Linked DNA regions of Callithrix jacchus. The protein of the gene in region 1 binds, or shares a complex with, the protein of each later gene. Links are inferred from orthologs where the notes say so. Each region holds a gene or a part of one and is shown on either strand. Other genes may lie near its edges. The genes, in order: XKR8 and BSG.

Region 1 (11,141 bases):
CTCCTCAGTGTGCTCTGTCTGGTTTGTCCAGGGAGGTGACAGCAAATGTCTGGTGAGTGAGCTTGTGATGAGTCAACGGGGTTCCCTCCCAATAGGCAACCTAGAGCAAAGTTCTGAGTGGATGGTCCTTGGTGCATCCTCCACTTACTCTTCGTGCCAGTGGGTACCTCAAGCTGTCTGTCCAACCTCTGCACTCTCTTAACTCTGCCCCAATCTCCATCCTTAACCACTCAGGGCCAGCCTCTTAAATGGGATACCTCCTTCCATTCTAACCCTCTCCAGCTCCTCCCCTGTGTGGCCAGGGTAAGGCATTCTGACCCCATCTGGTCTGTACGCAGAAGTGCCCAGCAGCTCCTCTTGCCCACAGGATCCCAGGAGATCTTGGGCACACTAAAGTTTGAGAACTGCCTCAGGCAACTTTATAGCACGCCTTTCCATTTGGATCCAAGTCCTCATTCCAGTACTTATTAGCTGCTTATAATTTTTTTTTTCAGACTACACAAAGAGAATTTTTTTTAAAGAGGTAGGGTCTAGCCAGGCATGGTGGCTCATGCCTGTGATCCCAACAGTCTGGGAGGCTGAGGTGGGGGAGCATTTGAGGTCGGGAGTTCGAGACAAGCCTGCTGAATATGGCAAAAGCTCATTTCTACTAGAAATACAAAAATTAGCCAGGTATAGTGGCGCACGCCTGTAATCCCAACATCCCAGCTACTCAGGAAGTTGAGGCAGGAGAACTGCTTGAATCTGGGAGGTAGAGGTTACAGTGAGCCAAGTTTGTGCCACTGCACTTCAGCCTGGGCAACAGGTAACAGAAGCAGACTCCAACTCGGAAAAAAGAAAAAAGAGGCAAGGTCTCTGTTGCCCAGGCTGGAATGCAGTGGCACAATCATGGCTCACAGTGGCCTTGAACTTCTGGGCTCAAGTGATCCTCCTATGTCAGCCTCCTAAGTAGCTTGGACTACAGGCTCGCACAACCATGCCCAACTGATTAAAAAAAAATTCTTGGTAAGATGGGGCTTGCTGTGTTGCCCAGGCTAATCTCAAACTCTTGGCCTCCAGTGATCCTCTTGCCTTGGCCTCTCAAAGTGTTGGGATTATAGGCGTGAGCCACTGCACCCAGCCCTTATTAGCTTCTTGATTCTGTTTTCCCATTGTAAAATGGGTTCTTGTGAGAAGTAAACAGGACAAGGTTTGTGATGAGCTTGGGACAGCGCCTGGCCAGCAGGAGTAGAAGGTGTGTGAATCCCCATTTTACAGATTAAACAAGTTCAGTGAGGTTAGAACACTGCCGAAGGCCCCATAGCATGGGTGCAAGGAGCCGGGTTGGAGCCTGTGTACATTCATTAGATGGGTGGGAGGCCGAGGACTTCACAGGATACTAACCTGGCCCTCTGGGCATCTGTGTGTGCTGCCTAGGTGCATGCAGGGGCTGCAGCAGGGGCTGCTGGTGTGGCGGCAGGAGGAGCCCTCTGAGTTTGACTTGGCCTACACGGACTTCCTCTCCCTGGACATCAGCATGCTGCGGCTCTTCGAGACCTTCTTGGAAACAACACCACAGCTCACGCTGGTGCTGGCCATCATACTGCAGAGCGGCCAGGCTGAGTGCTACCAGTGTGAGTGAAGGCCAGTGGCTGGTCCACCTTTCATAGCTTGGGGCAGGGGTCTCCCTCAAATGTTGGAGCTGTTTTTACTCTTTTATAAAGGCTGCTTAGAAACAGGAGAACAGGCTTTAGTCAGGCAGATCTGGCTTGAAACCTCAAGTCAAATGCCTTGACCTCTTTGAGTATGTTTGTTCTCATCTGAAAAATTGATATAAATAGTCCTGCCTCATAAGGCTGATGAAAGGATTAAGTGAGGTGATGCAAAGAAGGCCCATTTCCTGGTACGTAAGTTCCTGGTACGGAGTCTCACTGTCATGGCCAGTACTGGAGTACAGTGGCCTCATCACGGCTCACTGCAGCCTTGACCTCTCAAGCTCAAGTGATCCTCCTGTCTCAGCCACTCGAATAGCAGGGACTGCAGGCGTGTGTCACTATGCTGGCTAATTTTTAATTTCTTTTTTGTAGAGACGAGGTCCCACTTTGTTACCCAGGCTGGTCTTGAACTCCTGAGATGAAGTAATCCTCCTGCCTCAGCCTCCCAAGGTGATGGGATTACACATGTCGGCCACTGTGTCTGGCCCACAAATCTTAATTGTGATTTTTACAATTTTGAAGATAACAGAGATAAAGTGTGTAAGGTGCCTGATACAGAGTAGGTAACTTTTTAGTTAAGAAACAATTGAACATGTTGGGAGGCTGAGGCACACCGGTCGCTGGAGGCCAGAGTTCGAGACCATCCTGGGCAACATAGTGAGCCCTCATCTCAACAAAATTAAAAAACAAACAAACAAACAACATATTGAGAGCCTTCATCTAGTCAGGTTTTCATTGTGCGTCTCTTCTGTGCCTGTTACTGTGCTGGGGACACAGCAAACAAGATGAACCCAGCCCCTGCCCTGCCAGGATGATAGACTAACACAAGTAGCTGTGGTACAACATGTTGAGTGACGGGAGAAGGGAGAGGCAGGGGGCAGGGGGCAGGGGGCAGGGGGCAGGGGCTCGCAGGGCCCCTAAGTATGGGTGAAGTTTATAGTGAGGAGCTTTGGGAGGGTTTTTTCCCATAAAAGGAAAGTGATTTGCCCATTTTCCTTTTCTTTGAGATGGAGTCTCACTCTGTTGTCCCTGCTGGAGTGCAGTGGTGCACTCTCAGCTCACTGCAACCTCCACCTCCCAGGTTCGCCTCTGCCTCAGCAATTCTCTGCCTCAGCCTCCCGAGTAGCTAGGATTACAGGTGTCACCCACTACACCCGGCTAATTTTTGTATTTTTAGTAGAGATGGGGTTTCACCATCTTGGCCAGGCTGGTCTTGAACTCCTGATCTCATGATCCACCTGCCTTGGCCTCCCAAAGTGCTGAGATTACAGGCACGAGCCACCGTGCTCAGCTGACTTGCCCATTTTCACAGACCCAGACAGCCAAGCAAATAGGGCCCCCACTCATATCCGATTCAGGGTCCAGGGCTTCCCCTTTGCCTTCCTCCATAGCTGCCGTAAATGCCACAGCCTCTCAAGGAAGCAGTCCCTACTCTACTGTCACTCGCTGTGTGTCCTGGAGAGCCTTCCTGTGGAAGATGAGGGTTAGACTCGATCTCCAAGGGCCCTTTCATCTTGCTAGTCTGAGTCTATAATACTGATTGAAAAAACAGTAATAGCAGCCATCACAATCGAGTGCCAGTTATCAGCCAGGCCCAGGGGAAGCGTCTACAGTCATCCTTGCTCACGTTCACAGCAGCCCTGTAGGTCTGTGCTATATTGATGTCCATTTTTTTTTTTTGAGTCGGAGTTTTACTCTTGTTGCCCAGGCTGGAATGCAGTGGCGTGATCTCGGCTCACCGCAACCTCTGCCTCCCGGGTTCAAGCGATTTTCCTGCCTCAGCCTCCCCAGTAGCTGGGATTACAGGCATGCGCCACCATGACCGGCTAATTTTATATTTTTAGTATAGACGGGGTTTCTCTCTGTTGGTCGAACTCTCAACCTCAGGTGATCCGCCTGCCTCGGCCTCCCAAAGTGCTGGGATTACAGGTGTGAGCCACTGCTCCTGGCCTCGATCTCCATTTTTAGAGGTGCAGAAAGGTGAGTGACTTGCCCTGGGTCGCTCGGCACTCATTGGGCACATGTTTTTGTCTGCTGAGGGTGGGGGTGTTTAGAACTAGGACCAAGTGCAGATAGTCTGCACTGTGTGTATGCTAGTGGGTATGGGGGACAGACTGATTTTCTCTATTTTTTATTTAGCAAACATCTCTTTCACCGCTGTTAAGTGCCAGGTACTGGGCTGCTGGGGGATCCCAAGTGAGCAGAGTCTGTTTTTTACCCTCAAGGAGCTCAGAGATAAGGAAATAGATAATTACTGTGTGATGAGGCTGCAGACAAGGTGGGTGGCATGTTACAGGGATACCTGACACAGCAGAGTGAGTGGTGTAGGGTCAGGGTGGGTGACCTAGGGCTCTTCAAGCTGGGGCTTGCAGAGTAATGTAGGCCAGGGAAATGGGGCATGTGCTTGTGGTGACCTAACATCCTGGGCAAAGCTTGTCAAGGTCACGGAAGGTGGCATGCTGGGCAAATTGGAAGAACATCAGCCATACTGAGACCTGGGCAAGTGTAACGGACAGATCTGATTCCAGGCAAGGAGTGGGTTCTGGGCACATAATAGGCTCCCAGTAAAGATCAGCCAAATGACTGCAGTGGACGGGGATAGGGGAGGAAGCAGTTCCGGTGCCACTTCCATCCCTCCCTGGAGGTCCTTGTGCTTCTGCTCCAGGATGGGTGACCAGGAGGTGGGATAGTACCCTAGGACCCCTGTCGTAAACTTCTGGATCTTGGAAAATCAAGACTAGGGGTTGGTCCGATGGCCTCTAGTCTTGAGGGGAAGGGAGTGGGGAGACCTTCTGTCTACACAGCAGGGACGTCTCTCCCGGCCCTGAGGGCAGCTTTAGCCAGTGCTGTTGCCACCCCATGGGATTTTCCACTCCTTTTTTGAGACTAAGAAAGAGGGAACTGAGACTGCTGATTTTCAGACACAAGAAAGCCTTGTGCTCTTCCCAGAAAGAAAGGGTTATGGGGCCCTGGAAGATGCTCAGGGTGCAGCCAAGGCCCAGGGATGCAGGGTGCTGAGGAGCCACAAGTCATACCCTGTCATCTTTGAAAAATACCTGAATCGCACCTGAGCAGCAAAGCACTGTGATGAGGGGCTGGTTCCATATTAGGAGTTGTAGCTTTATTTTTGGTCATAGGAACTCGCTGGGACTCTACTTTCCCCAGAGGGATATCTCCAGCTGAAGATTTGCCTTCAACAATTGGGGGATTCTAATACCCACAGCAGGGTTGCTGGGAGGGCCCCCATGGTACCTGCAACCCCTGGGGAGTGCCAAGCAGGCTGGCCCCAGTACTCACTGTTCCTGCCTACTTTTTGCAGGGGTTGGCATCTGCACGTCCTTCCTGGGCATCTCGTGGGCACTGCTTGACTACCACCGGGCCTTGCGCACCTGCCTTCCCTCCAAGCCCCTCCTGGGTTGGGGCTCCTCCGTGATCTACTTCCTGTGGAACCTGCTGCTGCTGTGGCCCCGAGTCCTGGCTGTGGCCCTGTTCTCAGCCCTCTTCCCCAGCTATGTGGCCCTGCACTTCCTGGGCCTGTGGCTGGTGCTGCTGCTCTGGGTCTGGCTTCAGGGCACAGACTTCATGCCAGACGCCAGCTCTGAGTGGCTGTACCGGGTGACGGTGGCCACCATCCTCTATTTCTCCTGGTTCAACGTGGCTGAGGGCCACACCCGAGGCCGGGCCACCATCCACTTGGCCTTCCTCCTAAGTGACAGTATTCTCCTGGTGGCCACCTGGATGACTCATAGCTCCTGGCTGCCCAGCGAGATTCCACTGCAGCTGTGGCTGTCTGTGGGAGGTGGCTGCTTCCTTCTGGGCCTGGCTCTGCGACTTGTGTACTACCGTTGGCTGCACCCTAGCTGCCACTGCTGGGAGCCTAAGCCTGACCAAGTGGATGGGGCCCGGAGTCTACTTTCCCCAGAGGGATATCAGCTGCCTCAGAACAGGCGCATGATCCAGTTAGCACAGAACTTTTTCCCCAAGGCTAAGGATGGGGCTGCTTCACCAGTGAAGGGAGAGGTGAACGGCATCCTTTGAAGCAGGATTAGATGCAGCTGGCAGAGATGGACAGTGACTCCGCTGGCAGAAGGCAGGCGATAAGCTAACGATGCTGCTGTGGGCTCCATGCACTCAGCAAGAGTGGGATACCTGTCCTGGGCCAGGCACCGGGGATGCTGCTGAGTGGGGCAGAGGCCTGCCTTCAAGGAGTTCACAGAGAACAAGATGAGAAGGGCTGGGCCCTGCAGGGTCAACAGCCCCAGTTAGGTACAAGACACTTGGGGAGGAAAGAAGACTACCTTTTCTTTTCCCCCTGCCAGTTGGTATAGCTGGTGCCCCAAAACTTTCTACCTCCCTGGCTACCTCTAAAATAATTGATGTAGGTGCTGCCCTATCCTGGGCTAGAAGGCCACAGCACCCCCAGGGGCTGTCCTCTAGAATTCTTCCTTCCTTCCCCACACCATTCTTTCAATTCATGAAACAAATCTTTGCTAAGAGCAGTTTATGTGCCAGGAACAAGACCAGCTACCACCCTAGCTTCATGTCCTACCTGCACCAACCAGTCCTGGGTTAGATTTCAAATGCCGGAAGCTAGGGATGCCCAACTCTGGGTGATCCCAGTCCACCTCCAAGATCTCAGTGAAGCTGTCCTGGCCTCTTGCTTCTGCTCTCAAGGGGCTGCTTTTCAACCAAGAGCCTTGTGAGCCTGTGTTCTGGGCCTTGCACAGCCACTGAGTATTTTTTATTCTTTAGCCAGTGTTCCTCCTACCTCACAGTCTATGTGAGGGAAGAGACTGTGTGTGTCTGTGTGTCTCTGCAAGTGACAGATGTGTTGTTTTTGTTTAACAGTATTATTTGGTTTTTAAAGCCTCATGAACTCCTCCAACATAGTCTGTTATCATCAAACAAAATCTATGGAGGTCAGAGCCTGAACTGGAGGAGGTCAGGGACATAAAATCTACTTCTCAAAATCGGTCAAGGCCTCCAGAACAGAGAGAGGGCTGGCTCAGGTGGGGCTTCTAAACCTCGTTTTTGAAGTTTAAGGAGGTGGTGAACCAGCGTGGGGTTGACAGCTCAGCTGGGGATCAGAATCCAGATATGGGCTGACTTAGTGCATCCTCTTCACCACCAGCTCTGCTGCTGGGACCAGCAGGAGTGGCCACAAACATTTAGGGCCAAGAAGTGAACATAGAGCCTGGTGAAGAAAGGTCATTTTGCTGGGAGCTCTGAGAGGTTACGTGATGAGGTGGCTTAGGGGATGTAGATGTGGGTGGGTGATGGTGCTAGGGAGGTGGAGTCTTTTGCTGCTATAGGAGGTCTGTGGTTTGGAAAAACAAGGGACAGAAAAGTCACTTGAGATAGAGAAGAAAATGTTCCAGTCACCACTGTGATGGGATTCAGGATAGTTTCAGTTCTGTTACTCTGCTGGAGACACAAAAACCAGGATAAGTAAAACATTTAGTATATTACATAGTGTTAAGTGCTAAAAGAAAAAGGGAAAGGGCTAGGGAGAGAGTAGGTATTTGTGTTTTGCGGGTGGGAATTACAACTTTGTATAGGATGGCTGGGGAAGGCCTTCCTGAAAAGCTAATAAGCCAGTTAGTAGTGATGGGTGTCTCAGGGTCAGGAGAAGCAGAACCTGGAGTCACTGGTGGCATGAACCACTGTCAAGGAAGGAATGTTGCAAACGGAATTCCACAGGATGAAGTGTTTGTAGCCACTCTGTTGGCCTGGAGCGAAAGATGACCCAGAGATGAAGGGTGGGGGCAGGGAGAGGATCTGTGAGGACAATGCTGGTGACTTTTACATAAAAACAATGGATAGAGGCAGAAGGAATCCCGCAGACCATCCTGTCTAGACATTTTCAGACTTCTGAATATCATGAACCTATAAAATGGCCAACATGGTTGCAACTTAATTTTAACAAAAGGTCATTAAAAACTACCATTTACTTTCATCATCTCATAAAAGGAGGTACCAATCTTAGAGCAAAGGACCATTCTTCTAATAGAATACATATAAACACACACGCCTGACATTAATTGCAGGAGGAGATGGAGATGTTTTATCTACTCTGTGCTTGGAAATCAGTATCTCTAATATTTTTACTTATAACTGAGTAAAGATATAGCAGCTAACGGGTTTGCTTCAACTAATGTGTGGTTCAAATCTGCACCTAATGAGGAAAACATTTAATTACTAGAATAGGCAACCTTGTCTTTTCTAGGGATTTTTGGAAAAATACATCTTATAGTCTGACGTGTATGGTACTTCCATGGAAGCTAGAACCCAATTCTAATTTCCTGCACTGGGTTAAAAGGCAGAAAGGCTCCATGACTGTTTTCTAAACCAGTGGGGTACAGCCAGACCCAAATCAGACAAATGAAATGAGAAAAAGTAGTTGATGTGACATGAAATCAGGCCAAATCAAATGAGGTCTGATATCAATTTATCAGTTTTATTGCTTTTGCTGTTTAAGCTCAGCATAGCAAGGTACTCATTTCTCTCAGTAATTCAAATTCAGCACATTTGGCAGTGAATGAAATCTTTTCTTGTTCCAGTTCTAAACTTTAAAAAGCAGTGTTTTAGAAACAATAAATGCTCCCATGCAAATTATTTAAAAATATTTTCCCATGTGTATATTTATACGAAATGGTTTTGCTTTTTTCGGTGAAATGACAGTTACTCAAAGAGTGACATCTCTCCAATGAACTCTTTAGAACCTTTAGGAAGCCATAGTTAGGACCCTCACAGTTGGGCAACTGGGCTGATCCTATTCAGAAAAGACACAGGAGCAAACTATAGAAAATAAAAACTTTATTTTTTTCAAGTTTATAAGATAGTTCCCATTACGTTTATATAACATTATGGTCATGGATTCTACAGCCACGAATGCCCGCAGTCACATAAATATATCCAATCCGATCAATGCCTTTTCCTGCTAACAGGCACCTGCAGTCCAGAGGGAGAGTCTTGTTTTGAGTAGAAGTCGTCCTTAATGGGAGGGCTCCTGTCAGTGCATTAGGAACTAGCCAAGGAGCCTTGCTTTCCGGAGCTGTCTGACTCAGAGGAGAGGAAGGGACAGATGGCCTGCTGACTGGGGCCGAGGCAGAACTAGATTTTCTCTTGTGGTTTAAGATATTTTAGAATCTTGAAATTCAGATCATACAGTGTGAATATCTGGGGATTTCTAACTTCTGGATGAAAAATGAAACCAATTAAGTGGTAAGAAATAGAAGCCTGCTTAAGAGGGACCCTAACTGCCTCCTTGAAGAGGAGTGAGGTTTCAGAGGAAGACCCTAAGCTCACCACTCCTTGGCCCAGACCATTGCTCTACCCCATACTCCTCTCCCCCATGGTTCAGTGACACCGACACCCATTCAAGGTTGTGAACATCTAGAAGCTCCATATGCTGCAGCTGGAGTTTGTCAATCAGATTCTATCTGGAGCTTTAAAGCTGAGTTTGTGTAAACTGCGAACAAGCTGTGGCATCAGTCTCTTGGGACAACTCACTAGCTTTACAGAAGACAGAAACACCTCAAATTAAACAAAAGCTCAGACAGGCATCTAAATCTGGAGCAGGTGTCCATTCTTCTGGACACTACCAGCTGCCCCAGGGGCACTGGACAGGGTGATGCTAAGGCACAGTCAGTTTTACATTCGAAAGTCAAGCCACCTCTTCAACCCAAGACACACCTCACTCCAGATCTACTAGAGAGAGCCCTTACTGTGACATTACAGACCCATCTTATAGAACCCATAGTGCCCAGTTGGGGAAGGACTCACCATTTGGCTAATTTCATGAGGAACCCTTTCTAATGAAGAGGGGCTCCCCCTTGACAACTAGACCCACAGTATCCTTTGGCCGTCACCTTCCAACAGCTCTTAATCCTACCCACTTATTTTCTTTTCCAGATTTTTGTGTTGCAGAGGAGAAAAAGGGTAATGAGAGAGAGAGAGAGAGAGAGAGAGAGAGAGAGAGAGAGCGAGCGCGCGCACTGTGTTCCCTGACAATTCATTTTGGCAAAGAGCCAAGAAGCTCCTGTTTTCTGTTTTCTGTCTAAATAAGGGTGGCAACAACTAGGAATGAGCAGAGACTGCTCCGTTCAGCCTCCTTACCTCTCTTGGCCAAGTTTAAGTTCCTTTTGGAAAGAGCTAAGCTAGGAAGTCAGGGCAAGAGGAAAAAGGCCATTGATAAAAGTGAGTCTAAGTTATATTCTAAGAATAAAGAGCTCCCATAAGGATGGAGAGGGAAGTATATGTGTGTGTGCTTGTGTGCATGGTGGGGGTACCACTCCACAGCCTCACAAACCTGAAGCACAGGACCAACACTCGTGGCCTCTGTCCAGGACAAAAACCTAACAGCTATACTGGCATTAGCGGGAGGGCTGGAGGCCTCAGAGTAAAACCTAGAGCTTTCCAAGATCAATCATCAAACAAGTCAGAGCAGTATCTAGGCAATTCTGCTGAATACAGACCAATGGAAGGCCTTCCTCACACTACATCTCCCTCCTCCCAGCCCCACAGGCAACAAGGCCAAAGAGGCAGCTAGGTAAAGGAGCACTGACTTCAGCTACTCGTCAAAAACTTACTCCTTAAAATGGTGAGTCATGAGCACTTTTCAGTGAGTCTGAAGGAATGTGTATACCAGCCTTTCTCTGTTGCTATCTGGGTGGCCTGGCATTGGAAGGAGTCTTGCCTCTGTGCTGCAGTATCTTTGAAATGGGTGTGCAGAGTCTCTGGCGACAAGCAATTATAGCTGGGGTTAGTCAACAATGCCTCCTTCTGAGGACCAATCCTGCATCTCAATCTGAGGGGCTTATATCATCTCTCTGTGCAGCCTGGGAGAGGCTGAACTTCCTCAGCTCTAGGGAATTTTATCCTGCCTGAGCAGATGCCCAGATTGGTCTTGGAGGGCTAGGCTAGAAGGCTGTGACTAGTGCCTGGGCACCCACCAATCTTCCCAGAGGTGGAGAGATGCTCTTCATCTGGCCCAGGATTAAGTTTGGGGCATGAAGTAGGGAATGACCCAGCACTCTCATCTAAATCAGGAAAGTTTGGCCAGGTGCAGTGGCTCATGCCTGTCATCCCAACACTTTGGGAGGCCAAGGTGGGAGGATTGCTTGAGGCCAGGTGTTTGAGACCAGCCTTGGCAACACAGGAAAACCCTGGCTGTACGTACCCTCCCCCACAATCAGCAGAGTCTTTCTGGTTTCCTACTGTAGAATGGGATTTTAGAAGCAGGGTGTTCCACGGGAAAACTTAAATACAGCAATCTGCTCTTCAGTAGCAGGCAGAGATCTGGGTAAATTTACGCCTGGGATACCCATATAGCTTAAGGGCTTCCAAAAAGGAAGTCAAATACATGGATAGTTTTGCATGTTTTTAGATTTTATTTCAATTCTTGGGTCTAATACCTGGGGACTGGCCAGAGCTGCCTGGAGGTGG
Region 2 (11,689 bases), on another chromosome or scaffold:
ATTTCAGAAGTTCAAAACCAGCCTGGCCAACATAGTGAAACCCTGTCTCTACTAAAAGTACAAAATAATTAGCCAGGTGTGGTGGCATGTGCTTGTAATCTCAGTGACTTGGGAGGCTGAGGCAGGAGAATTGCCTGAACCCAGGAGGCGGAGGTTGCGGTGAGCCGAGATCGCGCCATTGCACTCCAGCCTGGGTAACAAGAGCGAAACTCCGTCTCAAAAAAAAAAAAAAAAAGAAAGAAAAAACAAAAACCAGGAGAGGCAGGTTTCTAAGTCATTCACGGTAACAGCAACGACACACGCGAGGTCGGCTGGCGACGCCTGGAAGACCGAGTTACCTCTTTTTGATATTTGTGTTTTTGCCTTATTTTCATCTTTCGGACGGCCTGTCTGTTGGCTCAGGGGAAAGGTTCCGTTTTCAGACTCCCGTGGAGACAGGAGCCACGTGCCTGCGGCCACAAGTTTCGGGGAGAATGATTATGGAGGCCTCAGGTCCATGTGTAGAAATCCTCATTTTTCCGGGAAAATACCAGCTGGCCTGGGGAGGAGCCACGGAGGAGAGAGGGCAGCTGCCCCTGCAAACCCTGCAAGGCGGCTCCCTCTGTCCTGGCGCGCCCGGCCGTAAAGCCCAGCCCGGTGCCTGGCTGGCTGGGCAGATGGCCCGGCCTCCTGCTTCCAGGGGTCATCTGGACTCCAGCCCACCCGGCCTGCCCCAAGAAGGGCCCCCCAACCCCCACGTCCACCCTCGGCGCACCCCCCCCATCATTCCATCACCAGGGAGGTGTGGAATCCATCATCCCAGCTCCTCCCCACAGGAGGGGGTCTCCTCAGCTGCAAAACGAATCAGGAATTGGTTCTCACTCAGTTCTGGGGCCCAGAAATCCGAAGTCAAGATTGGGTGAGACTTGGCTCCCTCGGGAGTCTCGGGAGGACCCTTCCTGCAAGGAGGACCCTCCCAGCTTTGGGAACTCCAGTCCCCCCATCACTCCAGTGTCTGCCTGCACGTACCGGGGGCCTCCCCTGGGTTCTTTTCCCCTCTGGCAAGAACCCATGTCACCTGGGCAACCCGGATGGTCCCTCTCAGGACCCCACTCAGCCACGTCTGCAAAGGCCCTTTCTCTTTTTTCTTCTTTTGAGATGGATTTTCACACTTGTTGCCCAGGCTGGAGTGCAATGACGCCATCCCGGCTCACCGCCACCTCCGCCTCCCAGGTTCAAGCGATTCTCCTGCCTCAGCCTCCCGAGTAGCTGGGATTACAGGTATGCGCCACGATGCCCAGCTAATTTTTTATTTTTAGTAGAGATGGAGTTCATTTGCCATGTTGTTCAGGCTGGTCTTGAACTCCTGACCTCAAGTAATCCACCCACCTCGACCTCCCAAAGGGCCCAGATTGCAGGTGTGAGTCACCACGCCCGGCCTCGTAAAGGCCCCTTTTTCTAAACAGGGCCACATTCGCAGGTTCTCGGCGTCACACCGTTTGGGGGTCGCCGTCCTGCCCGCCACACCCATCTCTGCATGGACTGACCTCTCCCCGGCCTCGGCCCTCCCGGTCTGGGTTCCTGACCTTGGCCGCTGCCTCCTCCTGGACACCAGTCAGTCACGTGGGGACCCATACAGTGCCCTTAGGGCGAAACCCGCACTCCTCCCACCAATCACTGGGGAGTGTCTCAACCGCCTGGAAAGTGGCTGGAATTCAAAGCCAAGCCCCTCAGAAAAATGCAAGGGAAAAATTCAGGATGGGGCTGGGCACCTCGGGAGGCTGAGGCCGACCCTTGTCGCCCTGGAGTTTGAGATTGGCCTGTGCAATTCGAGGCTCTAGCTCTACCAAAAACAACATAAAAAGTAGCCCAGCGTGGTGGCTCCCGGCCACGGTCCCAGCTACCCTGCGGATGAGGTGGGAGGCTGGCTTGAGCCCAGGAGGTCGAGGCTGCAGGGAGCCATGATTGTGCCACTGCACTCCAGCCTGGCAGACAGCGCAAGAGTCTCAAAGCAAAAAAAAAAAAAAAAACATTTAATTAAGGGTTGGGCGAGGTGGCCTGCGCCTGTCATATCAGCACTTTGGGAGGTCGAGGCAGGTGGATCACTTGAAGTCAGGAGTTTGAGACCAGCCTGGCCAACATGGCGAGACTCCGTCTCCACTAAAAAGACAAAAATTAGCCGGGCGCGGTGGCGCGTGCCTGTAATCCCAGCTACTCGGGAGGCCGAGGCGGGAGAACGGCTTGAACCCGGGAGGCGGAGGTTGTAGTGAGCTGAGATCGCGCCCCTGCACTCCAGCCTGGGTGACCGGGGAAGACTCCCTCTGAAACAAATAACGGAAAAAGACTGCGGACGGAGGGCCCACAGAGGTGGTGGGGCCGGGCCTGAGGGAGGCCGGGAGGAGTCTGACTGCTGGAACAAAGCAGGAGGAGCTTTGGGCTCCCCTCCCCGCCGAAATCTCACTCTCTAGCCAGGCTGGAGTGCAGTGGCACGATCTCAGCTCACTGCAACCTCCACCTCCCGGGTTCAAGAGATTCTCCTGCCTCAGCCTCCCGAGTAGCTGGGACTACGGGCACGTGCCACCGTGCCCGGCTACGTTTTGTATTTTTAGTGCAGATGGGGTTTTGCCACCTTGGCCAGGCTGGTCTCAGGTGATCCACCTGCCTCAGCCTCCCAAAGAGCCGGGATTACCGGCGAGCCACTGTGTCCGGCCGGCTGTAACCAGGGCAGGCATCTCCCTTCAGGGCAGAGCTGAAGAGTGAGGCCGGATGGAGAAAAGAGTGGCCCTCGTCACACTTCTGCTTGAGAAAGAGGTCCAGATCCGAAATCTCCCTCCCAGAGAAGCTCCAAGCCTCAGGGCAGAGGCGGGAGGACCAGTGAGCATCCTGGGCCTTCACCTACCCGCCGCCAATTCAGGGCACCCGGAGGGCCAGCAGGGGCAGAGGAGACAAGGGGAGTGGCGGGGGGGGGGCTCGCCGCCAGGTGGGGGAGGCGGCCGAAATCCAGGCCGCCCAGTTACACTTGAGTTTCCAATATGCAACAGATAACGTTTAGTATAAGTATATCCCATGCAGCATCTGGGATATACTTACACTAATGCATAACAACCAAAAAAAAAAAAAAAAAAACCCACTGCCTTTTCAAAATCTGAGATTTAAATTAACTGGGACCGGGCGCGGTGGCTCACGCCAGTAATCCCAGCACTTTGAGAGGCCGAGGCGGGTGGATCGCTTGAGGTCAGGAGTTCGAGACCAGCCTGGCCAAGATGGCGAAACCCCATTTCTACTAAAAATACAAAAATTAGCGGGGCCTGGTGGCAGGTTCCTGTAATCCCAGCTACTCCGGAGGCTGAGGCAGGAGAATCTTTGGGGGGGTGGGGGGCAGGGGGAGTTTCTGGCTCTGCCTGTGGGTCAGAAATGGCTTTCCAGGGAAAGGACCAGAAAATGGGGTCTTCAAGTCTCAAATCAGTCACAGGCTTTATTTTGTAAACAATGACCAAGTTTCCAGACCTGACCTGGGGCCAGACTGGCGCCTTGCCAGGGAGGGCTCAGGAGGGGGCAGGCGTTGGGCCAGGCCCCGTGCCTGTTTACAGCCCTGGAGGGGCTTTGAAGCCAGCTGGCCCTGCTGGGCCTCGTCCGCAGTCTGTCCTCATTCCGCACGTAGCTTCAGACCCCCAGGGAGGACCTTCCAAGCCTGCTGCCAGGCGGGAGCTCTTTGGTGCTGGGCAGTTCTGAGTCTCCCAATTGTTAGTCACCCCTAGGAGGGGGTCTCCCAGAGTGAAGCCCTTAGCCCCAGCCCCCTTTATCACAAGTCCTGGGCCTCTGTTTCCCCCCCCTCCCCCACTCTGTCCAGCATCTTCCTGCCCTGGCTGGGTCCAGCCACCTCCCTGGATGGAGTTTCTCCACCCCTGCCCACCCTATGCTGGTCCCTCAGTTACCCACATACCATAGTTTTATTTATTAATTTTATTTTATTTTTTTGGTTTTTTTTTTTTGAGACGGAGTTTCGCTCTTGTTGCCCAGGCTGGAGTGCAATGGCACGATCTCGGCTCACTGCAACCTCCGCCTCCTGGGTTCAGGCAATTCTCCTGCCTCAGCCTCCCGAGTAGCTGGGATTACAGGCACGCGCCACCACGCCCGGCTAATTTTTTGTATTTTTAGTAGAGACGGGGTTTCACCTTGTTGACCGGGATGGTCTCGATCTCTTGACCTCGTGATCCACCCGCCTCGGCCTCCCAAAGTGCTGGGATTACAGGCGTGAGCCACCGCGCCCAGCCTGTCCTGGACTTTTCATAGAAACGTGATTACACACTCTGTGGCCTTTTTTCCCTTAATTTATTTATTTAGTTTTTTGAGACGGAGTCTCTATGTTGCCCAGGCTGGAGTGCAGTGGCTATTCACAGGCACGATCCCACTACTGATCAGCACGGGAGTTTTGACCTGCTCTGCTTCAGCCTGGGCCGGTTCACCCCTCCTTAGGCAACCTGGTGGTTCCTTGCTCCCGGGAGGTCACCATATTGATGCTGAACTTAGCACGGACACCCAATCGTCATAGCACACTACCGCCCAGAACTCCTGGGCTCAAGCCATCCTCCAGCCTCAGCCTCCCGAGTAGCTGGGTCTACAGGCATGCGTCACCGCACCCAGCTGTTTGTTTTTTGAGACAGGTCTCGCTCTGTCGCCCAGGCTGGAGTGCAGTGACACAGTCTGGGCTCACTGTAACCGCCGCCTCCTGGGATTACAGGCATCCACCATCAGACCCCGCTACTTTTTGTATTTTTAGTAGAGACAGGGTTTCTCCATGTTGGCTAGGCCGGTCTCGAACTCCTGACCTCAGGTGATCCGCCCGCCTCTGCCTCCCAAAAGCAACCACTTTATTTATATAACTATGCCCAGATGGTGGAGAGACGTTTATACAAACAAATTATTCATTTTTCTAAGATTCAGATTCAAATTTTTTTTTTTTTTTTTTTTAATTAAAAAAAAAAAAATAGAGACGGGGTTTCACCACGTTGGTGAGGATGGTCTCGATCTCTTGACCTCCTGCTCCGCCTGCATTGGCTTCCCAGGGCTCTGGGATTACAGACGTGAGCCACAGCGGCCAGCTGGGGGTTCATTTCGATAAAATCTGGGTAATACCCTTTTAAGGTTTCAACCCCCTCGAGCGCACCGCCCTGCCCTCTAAACTTTCAAAGCAGGGAGGAAGAAATGCGCATGCTCCAGGCGCGTCCCTTAGGCCCCTCCCGTTTCTTAGCAACGTCGCGTCCCCTGCGCCGCCGGCCGGCTTCCGTAGCTGGAGCTTGCGGGAGCTAGCGCGTGTGCGTGCGCGCGTGCGCAGGTATAGCGACCGGCATGCCCCGCGCGCGCCCCGCCCCTGCGACGCCGCCGTGCGTGCGCGCGCTCGGCCCGCACCTCCTCCCCCCCCCCCCCCCCCGCGGGTTCTTATAGCGGCCGCGGGCGGCGGCGGCGGCAGTTGGTCGCGACGGTGCTGGCGGGGACGGGACATCATGGCGGCCGCGCGGCTCGTGCTGCTGGGGTTCGCGCTGCTGGGCGTCGACGGAGCCTCCGGGGCTGGTGAGGAGTTGGCGAGGGGCGGGGGTGCGGGCCGGCGGGGGCCGGGAATGGAGGCTGCGGGTGGAGGCTGAGGTGCGGACCCGAGGCCCACGGGAGCCTGGGCCTCGGCGCGGGGCGGCCCGGGGAACGAAAGGCCGGCCCCGGAGGTTTCCCGCGGCAGCTTGGAGTCTGGCGGTGAAGTCCCAGCGTTTGAGGGGAGCTGGGGGTCCTCCCGGGGCTGCTCGCCCGGCTCCTGGGCCTCCGTGTGGGCGTGAAGCCGCTTGCTTGGGGTTGGGGTTAGGGAGCTGGGGGGGGTCCTGGCCCGGCCGGTCTCGGTCTGGGGACAGAGCGTCCTGCTTCTCGGCGGCCGCTCCCCGGCGGCGGTGGAGGATCTCGCGTCACCCCGGGTCAGGGCGGTCGCGAAGCGGGTTGCAGGTGCCCTAACCCCCGTCCCACCGGACAGAGCTTCGGTGAGCGCCCCCTTTGGCCTGGAGCCAGGGGTCAGGGGCTGGGCTGGTGCCTGCCCGACCCGTCCTGCGGGGACTGGACCCCCCCCCTCGCCTGGGAGCGTTAGGGTCAGAGACCCCCGCCCCCCCGACTCTGGGACGCTCCGGGACCCCCGCAGGGCCCGTGCTGCCTGGAGCGGTCATCTTGGCGTCCTCATCTGGAAAAGGGGCTTTTCTCCTCCAAGTGCACGCGGAGGCCCTGAGCGGGTCAGCCCTCGGGATCGGGAAGGGATTATCGTTCTTCGCGGGATTTGGCCCTGGCCTGCTGCCTCGGGTGTGCACCTGCCCCCGGGTGCTCTCCCGCACTCTTAAGCCCTGGCAGGCTGCTCCCTCGAGGGGCCCTGCCTGGAACGGAACGCAGAGCCTCCCTCCAGAGGCGCCTGGCTTCAGGACACACGAGGAGGTGGTCTCTGGATGCCCCTCCTCGTGTCACAGGCGAGGAAACTGAGGCCTGTGGGGAGCTCATGTTCCAAGGTCACAGGGAGCGCAGGAAACAGTGAGAAAGTCGTTTCTAGCAGAGTCTGACAGGGCATTCGGTTTTCAGTGCTGTTGGCAGGAGGGGGCCCTGTGCTGGGGGTGGGCAGACGTGGTTTGGAGAGTGTACTTGGGAAACGGATCGAGGTGTGATTTTCCAGGAGAAAAGCACGACAGCCATTCTTGCTTGTGGGGGCAGACTGGCTTCCTTTACTGAGTTCCTCATTTGGTTCTGGGTTATAAAGACTTACAGTGACCGGCTGGGCTCGGTGGCTCACGCCTGTAATGCCTGCACTTTGGAAGGCTTAGGCGGGTGGATCACGAGGTCAAGAGATCGAGACCATCCTGGCCAGTAGGGTGAAACCCTGTCTCTGTTACAAAACCTAAGCTGGGCGAGGTGACTCACGCCTATAATCTCAGCGCTTTGGGAGGCCAAGGCAGGCGGATCACCTGAGGTCAGAAGTTTGGGACCAACCTGATTAACATGGAGAAATCTTGTCTCTACTAAAAATACAAAATTAGTTGGGTGTGGTGGTGCACGCCTGTAATCCCAGCTACTCGGGAGGCTGAGGCAGGAGAATCACTTGAGGCAGAGGTTGTGGTGAGTGGAGATTGGGCCAGTACACTCCAACCTGGGCGACAGAGCGAGACTCTCTCAAGAAAAGAAAAGAAAAAAAAAGATTTATAGTGACCGAAGTGTTGGGAACAAGGTGCAGAGCCGGAGGATCTGGGCTCCTGAAGGGTCAAGAACCAGTGCTCTGAGCCGCTGTCCTGGGCATTGAGCTGTAGGGGCCTTGGGCAGGGGCTGGGGAGGGGCTCCCTGTTGTAGAGGCTTTGCCAGCGAACTCCTGACCCACTTCTGAGATTTCATCCTCACCAAAGTGGCCGTTTATCGAATGCCTCCTGGGTAAGGGCCTGGCCTCAGCACCCTGGCCAGCTCTCTGGGGAGACAGATAGGAGCCCACTGGGGAGGTGAAGGCTGGAGATAAGTCCACCCCAGCCCTGTGCAAACGGCCTCAGTGTCGGGAGCCAGCCAGGCTTGACTGGTTTTCAAGCACAACAGGAGGTTCCTACGTTGAGCTAATTTGACAGCCAAGTGGGTGAAAGACCTTTGGTCTCTCCCTGCTGGGTAGGGTGGTTCACGGTTTTGTTCCTCTGGTGCTCAAGACTGAGAATCGCTTGTCCTCAGCAGAAAGCTTAGCATGGGGCTTACTGGCCAGAGCTGCAGCCTGGGAAGCAGGTGGAGTCTGTGATGCCGGGAGCGCTGCTGTGCAGGTGTGCGTGTGTGCAAGTGTGTTCTCGTGTGTTTGGGTGTGTGTGTTTGCTTGAGCACACGTGTGGGGGATGGGACGTGGGTCCCCGTCCTCGGAGCGTCTCTGTGCTTTTAACAAACGCCACCTTTGCTGGGGACTGACTCCTGAAGACCCGAAGGTCTGGGCTACACAGCCTTGTGTCCTGCGTGGGGTGGACACTGATGTTTGCTCTGTGTATTCGTGACCCTGTTTGCGTCTCCTGAACCTTGCTTCAGGGGCCTCTGGGGGCTTGGGTGGGGCAAGTGCCTGAGGTTGGCCATCTATAGCTCCTGTGGGCTTGTCAGACTGGAGGGCCCCAGTGTGCCGGCTGGGTCCCAAGGGCAGAGGGCTTCACCCCTGAGCCTCCTATGGGAGGAGTGGGAGTGCCTGGCTGCAGCAGGTGGGGTGGGGAGGGAGGTGCCCGCAGACGCCTCCCAGAGCTGTTTTCTCTGGCTTCTGTCAGAGTGCTGCAGTGGGTGGGGAGGAGGGCGGATGGGGGCGGGCGGCCGGCCTTATCCTGTGGGGCTGCTTGTGTACCACGAGGCCTGCCTGGCCCTGAGCCCCAGCCTGGCTGCCGAGTGGGCAAGGAGGCGGTGGCTGTTTTTAGATGAAGGTGACTTTACTTGAGAACATGGGTTATGGGTCATGTGGCCAGAATCGAATGCTCACCTTTCTGGGGCCTGTGGCTGAGAGTCAGGCACTGCCCCTCCTCCTAGTGCTCCTGAGTGGAGGCTCCTGGCATGGAGGGCGGGTTGCCCGGTGGGGTGGGGGGCTCTCCAGCGTACCCAGGAGCCTCTATGGAGGCTTTCTCCTCCTGTGGCCCACACTAGTGGCACTTCAGAACAGACACCAGCGCCATCAGCAAACGGAGGGCCCACGGGCGGTTGTTCTGTCCAGAGCCTTTTGGTCCCTTTGGGAGTGATGCCGTCCACCCGCTGAGAAGGTGGAGGACCCAGTTGCAGCACGGTCACCGGTGCAGACGGCCCCTCAGAGCCTTGGACTTCGAGGCACAGGCTGGCTCGGTTTCCCACAGGACGCCTGGGTATTCCCGAGGCTGGAGGCTGGATCACAGGGGCCTCTTCAGGGCCTGGGGGGAAGGTGGGTGGGGGCAGGTTGGCTGCAGGCCTCCAGCTCCTCTGCTCTGCCCCGTGCCCTGGCCCTGCCCTGCCTGAAGGTGGGGTGTGTTGACTCAGGAGCCAGCCCTGCCTTAGCACCCCGGGTGAGGACAGTGAGGAGGATGTGGAGGGCAGCTTCGCAGGGCCTTAGGAGGAGGAGGAGGAGGAGAAGGAGGGGGCCACTGTGGGGCCGGAAGGAGCTTGCCAGCCGGGCTGCCTCTGGCTGCACTTCCTGCCCTGACTCGCCTCGCCAGGCTCTGCACGTCGCTGCTGTTTTGCAGTCTGGGAAATGTAGGTTACCAGGAGGGGACCCTTTGTGAAAGTGGCACTGCCAAACGTTGTTAATTGCTCCTGCCTGGAGTTCACCTCAGGGGGTCAGCTGTGAACATCCCCTGTCCCTGGGGCCTTGGGGCCCATGACATGTGCACTGCTATGCAGTCTCAGAGCTGTGAGCATGTGTGTGTGCCTGTGTGGTGTGTGTCTGCGGACGTGTGTCCTTGAATGCATATGTTATAGCGGTGTCTGGGAGCCTGACCTCAGAGGGCATTCTAGGAGGGGCTGCACAGTCCTGGCAGGAGTTGCAGGTGGGTGGGGTGCGCCCATTCCCCACTTCCTCTGAGTGTTCTAAGACGGGCTGCACGGTCCTGGCAGGAGGTGGCGCAGGTGGGCGAGGCATGTTTACCCTGGATGTTCTAGGGAAGGGCTGCACAGTCCCCGCGCCTGCTCCCCGTGCTTCCCCAGGGCAGGGCAGTTCCTGGCAGGCGGGTGCCAGGCACAGTGGGAGGGTGCGTGTGGATTCTCCTGTGCTCCTTTCAGCTCCGGGGCCTTCCCTTCTGTTTTGAAGGGAGGAGTGGTGGTGGGCCAGTGGTAACGGTCCCTGAGGCACTGCCGGCTCCGTCTTCCCAAATCCTCTTCTCTGGGTGGCTGCCCTGAGATTGCTGAGGACACAAGCACTTTCCACCCGCAGGCCGTCCTAACAGCCTGAGTGGGGCCTCCTGGACAGAGCCCCCTGCCCCTGTGGGCTTTGGGATTTTATTTTCTCTGCAGCTCACCGGATCTCTCGGGTCAGGGTATCGGGCAGAAGGCAGAGGATGCTGCCCTGGGGACCGGCAGTCTGGAAGTTGGGGCAGCCATGCCCACAGTCCTCTGACAGAGAGGCCCTTGGGGCTTAAATTCCTGGCTGTTCTGCCCAGTTTCATGGGTTTTGTGTTTTAAGCTACGTGTGGTTCCTCATTTATGCCATCAGAAGCCAGTGTGTCTGCTGGGAGGGTGGGAGTCAGGGGGGCGTCCACGGTGGCTCCCACGGTCTTTCTCATGCGCTGCCCTTTGGCAGCCCAGCCCCGTCACTCTCCCACAAGCCGAAAGGAAGCAGCTTCCCCCCAGCCCTGGCCAGGAGTCCTGTGGGCGAGGCCTTCCCCAGGGCGGCACTAACGAGGCTCCGCGCCCGCTCTCCCTGCAGCTGGCTTTGTGCGGGCGCCACTGTCCCAGCAGAGGCGGGTGGGGGGCCGTGTGGAGCTGCACTGTGAGGCTGTGGGCAGCCCAGTGCCGGAGATCCAGTGGTGGTTTGAGGGGCACGGTCCCAACGACACCTGCTCCCAGCTCTGGGACGGCGCCCGGCTGAACCGCGTCCACATCCACGCCACCTACCGCCAGCACGCAGCCAGCACCATCTCCATCGACACGCTCGCAGAGGAGGACTCGGGCACCTACGAGTGCCGGGCCAGCAACGACCCGGACCGCAACCACCTGACCCGGGCGCCCAGGGTCAAGTGGGTCCGCGCCCAGGCGGTGGTGCTAGTCCTGCAACGTGAGTGGCGGGCGCCTCCCTCCCCGCCTCCCTGGTTCCCTCCTGTGCCGCTCCTGCTGATAGAACCCAGACGCCTCCTGCCCCTCTCTGCCCTGCTGGGCCCACCACTGGGACAGGGGGGCCCAGACCTGAAGGGGTGGACTCGCCCTTGACCGCCAGCGCTGGGCGACCTGGCTTGGGGCGGGCAGAGCTCTGCCTTCCAGCAGGTGGGTCCTTGTCCTCCCTCGACCCTGCACTGTCTGTGCCGCCGTCCCTCTCTGCTCCCCCGGGCGCCTGCCTGGCTCCTTTCCTGAGTGTCTGTCCACACTGCCAGCCTGAGGGGCCCTCCAGCCTCAGTCCAGGCTTGCTGCCCTCAGAACCTTCTGTGTCCTGCTCAGCGTCTCGTCCTAAGGGATTTTCACATTCAGTCCTAACCGGAACATTGTAAATTAACCAAGAGATTTGCTCGATGGGGATTGGCAGGAGAACCGGGTGCTCCCAGTGCTGCAGTGCCGTCAGCCTGGAATCGGGTGGATGGGGTCACCTGGGAGCCCCATCCAGGGGCAGGTCTCCACCAGCGGGCATCTGAGGGGCCGTCGAAGGAGGCAGCCTTGGCCAGGGAGGCAGCCTTGGCCGGGGGGCGATTTGGCTGTTTTTTTCAGACAGAAATTTCCAGTTTGTGCTGGGGCTGCTCAAGAGCTCTGTGCCCTGGTCCCTGCTCAGGGACGGGGTGGGTGCCTTGTCTGTCCCGACACCTGGGACCCAGCCTCCTGTGTCTCTGGACAGGAGATCACTGGGTGGGGCCCATCAGCTGCCAGCAAAGGCACCTTCCGGAGGTGCAGCCAGATGTTCCCCTCGGGGTGTCAGGGCCACGGTGTAGTTTCAGAGCCGAAAACAAGTCGTTCAGGGAGGAGCTGTGGGTTCCTGGGTGTCAGGCAGGCAGCGCGGGCTGTGCTCTTCCACTGTGTGCTGACTGCGTCTCCCCGG

Evidence for each region.
Region 2: the proteins of XKR8 (region 1) and BSG are in contact, whole or in part, in a cryo-EM structure (PDB 7DCE), measured with the Homo sapiens proteins. The link is inferred for Callithrix jacchus from reciprocal best matches to the Homo sapiens genes XKR8 and BSG. Residues at the interface, in NP_060523.2 of Homo sapiens: His232, Leu236, Val239, Leu242, Trp243, Leu246, Gln247, Arg280, Gly283, Arg284, Ile287, Phe291, Ser294, Asp295, Leu298, Ala301, Thr302; in NP_001719.2 of Homo sapiens: Trp326, Pro327, Gly330, Ile331, Glu334, Val335, Leu338, Val339, Ile341, Ile342, Phe343, Tyr345, Glu346, Lys350.

The regions. Positions count from the first base shown.
Region 1 is NC_133508.1:64,638,740-64,649,880, forward strand, and holds the end of XKR8 (XK-related protein 8), read left to right. Parts: intron 1-1,416; coding exon 1,417-1,613; intron 1,614-5,013; coding exon 5,014-5,732; 3' UTR 5,733-8,317; downstream 8,318-11,141.
Region 2 is NC_133523.1:525,956-537,644, forward strand, and holds the start of BSG (basigin), read left to right. Parts: upstream 1-5,444; 5' UTR 5,445-5,483; coding exon 5,484-5,550; intron 5,551-10,375; coding exon 10,376-10,723; intron 10,724-11,689.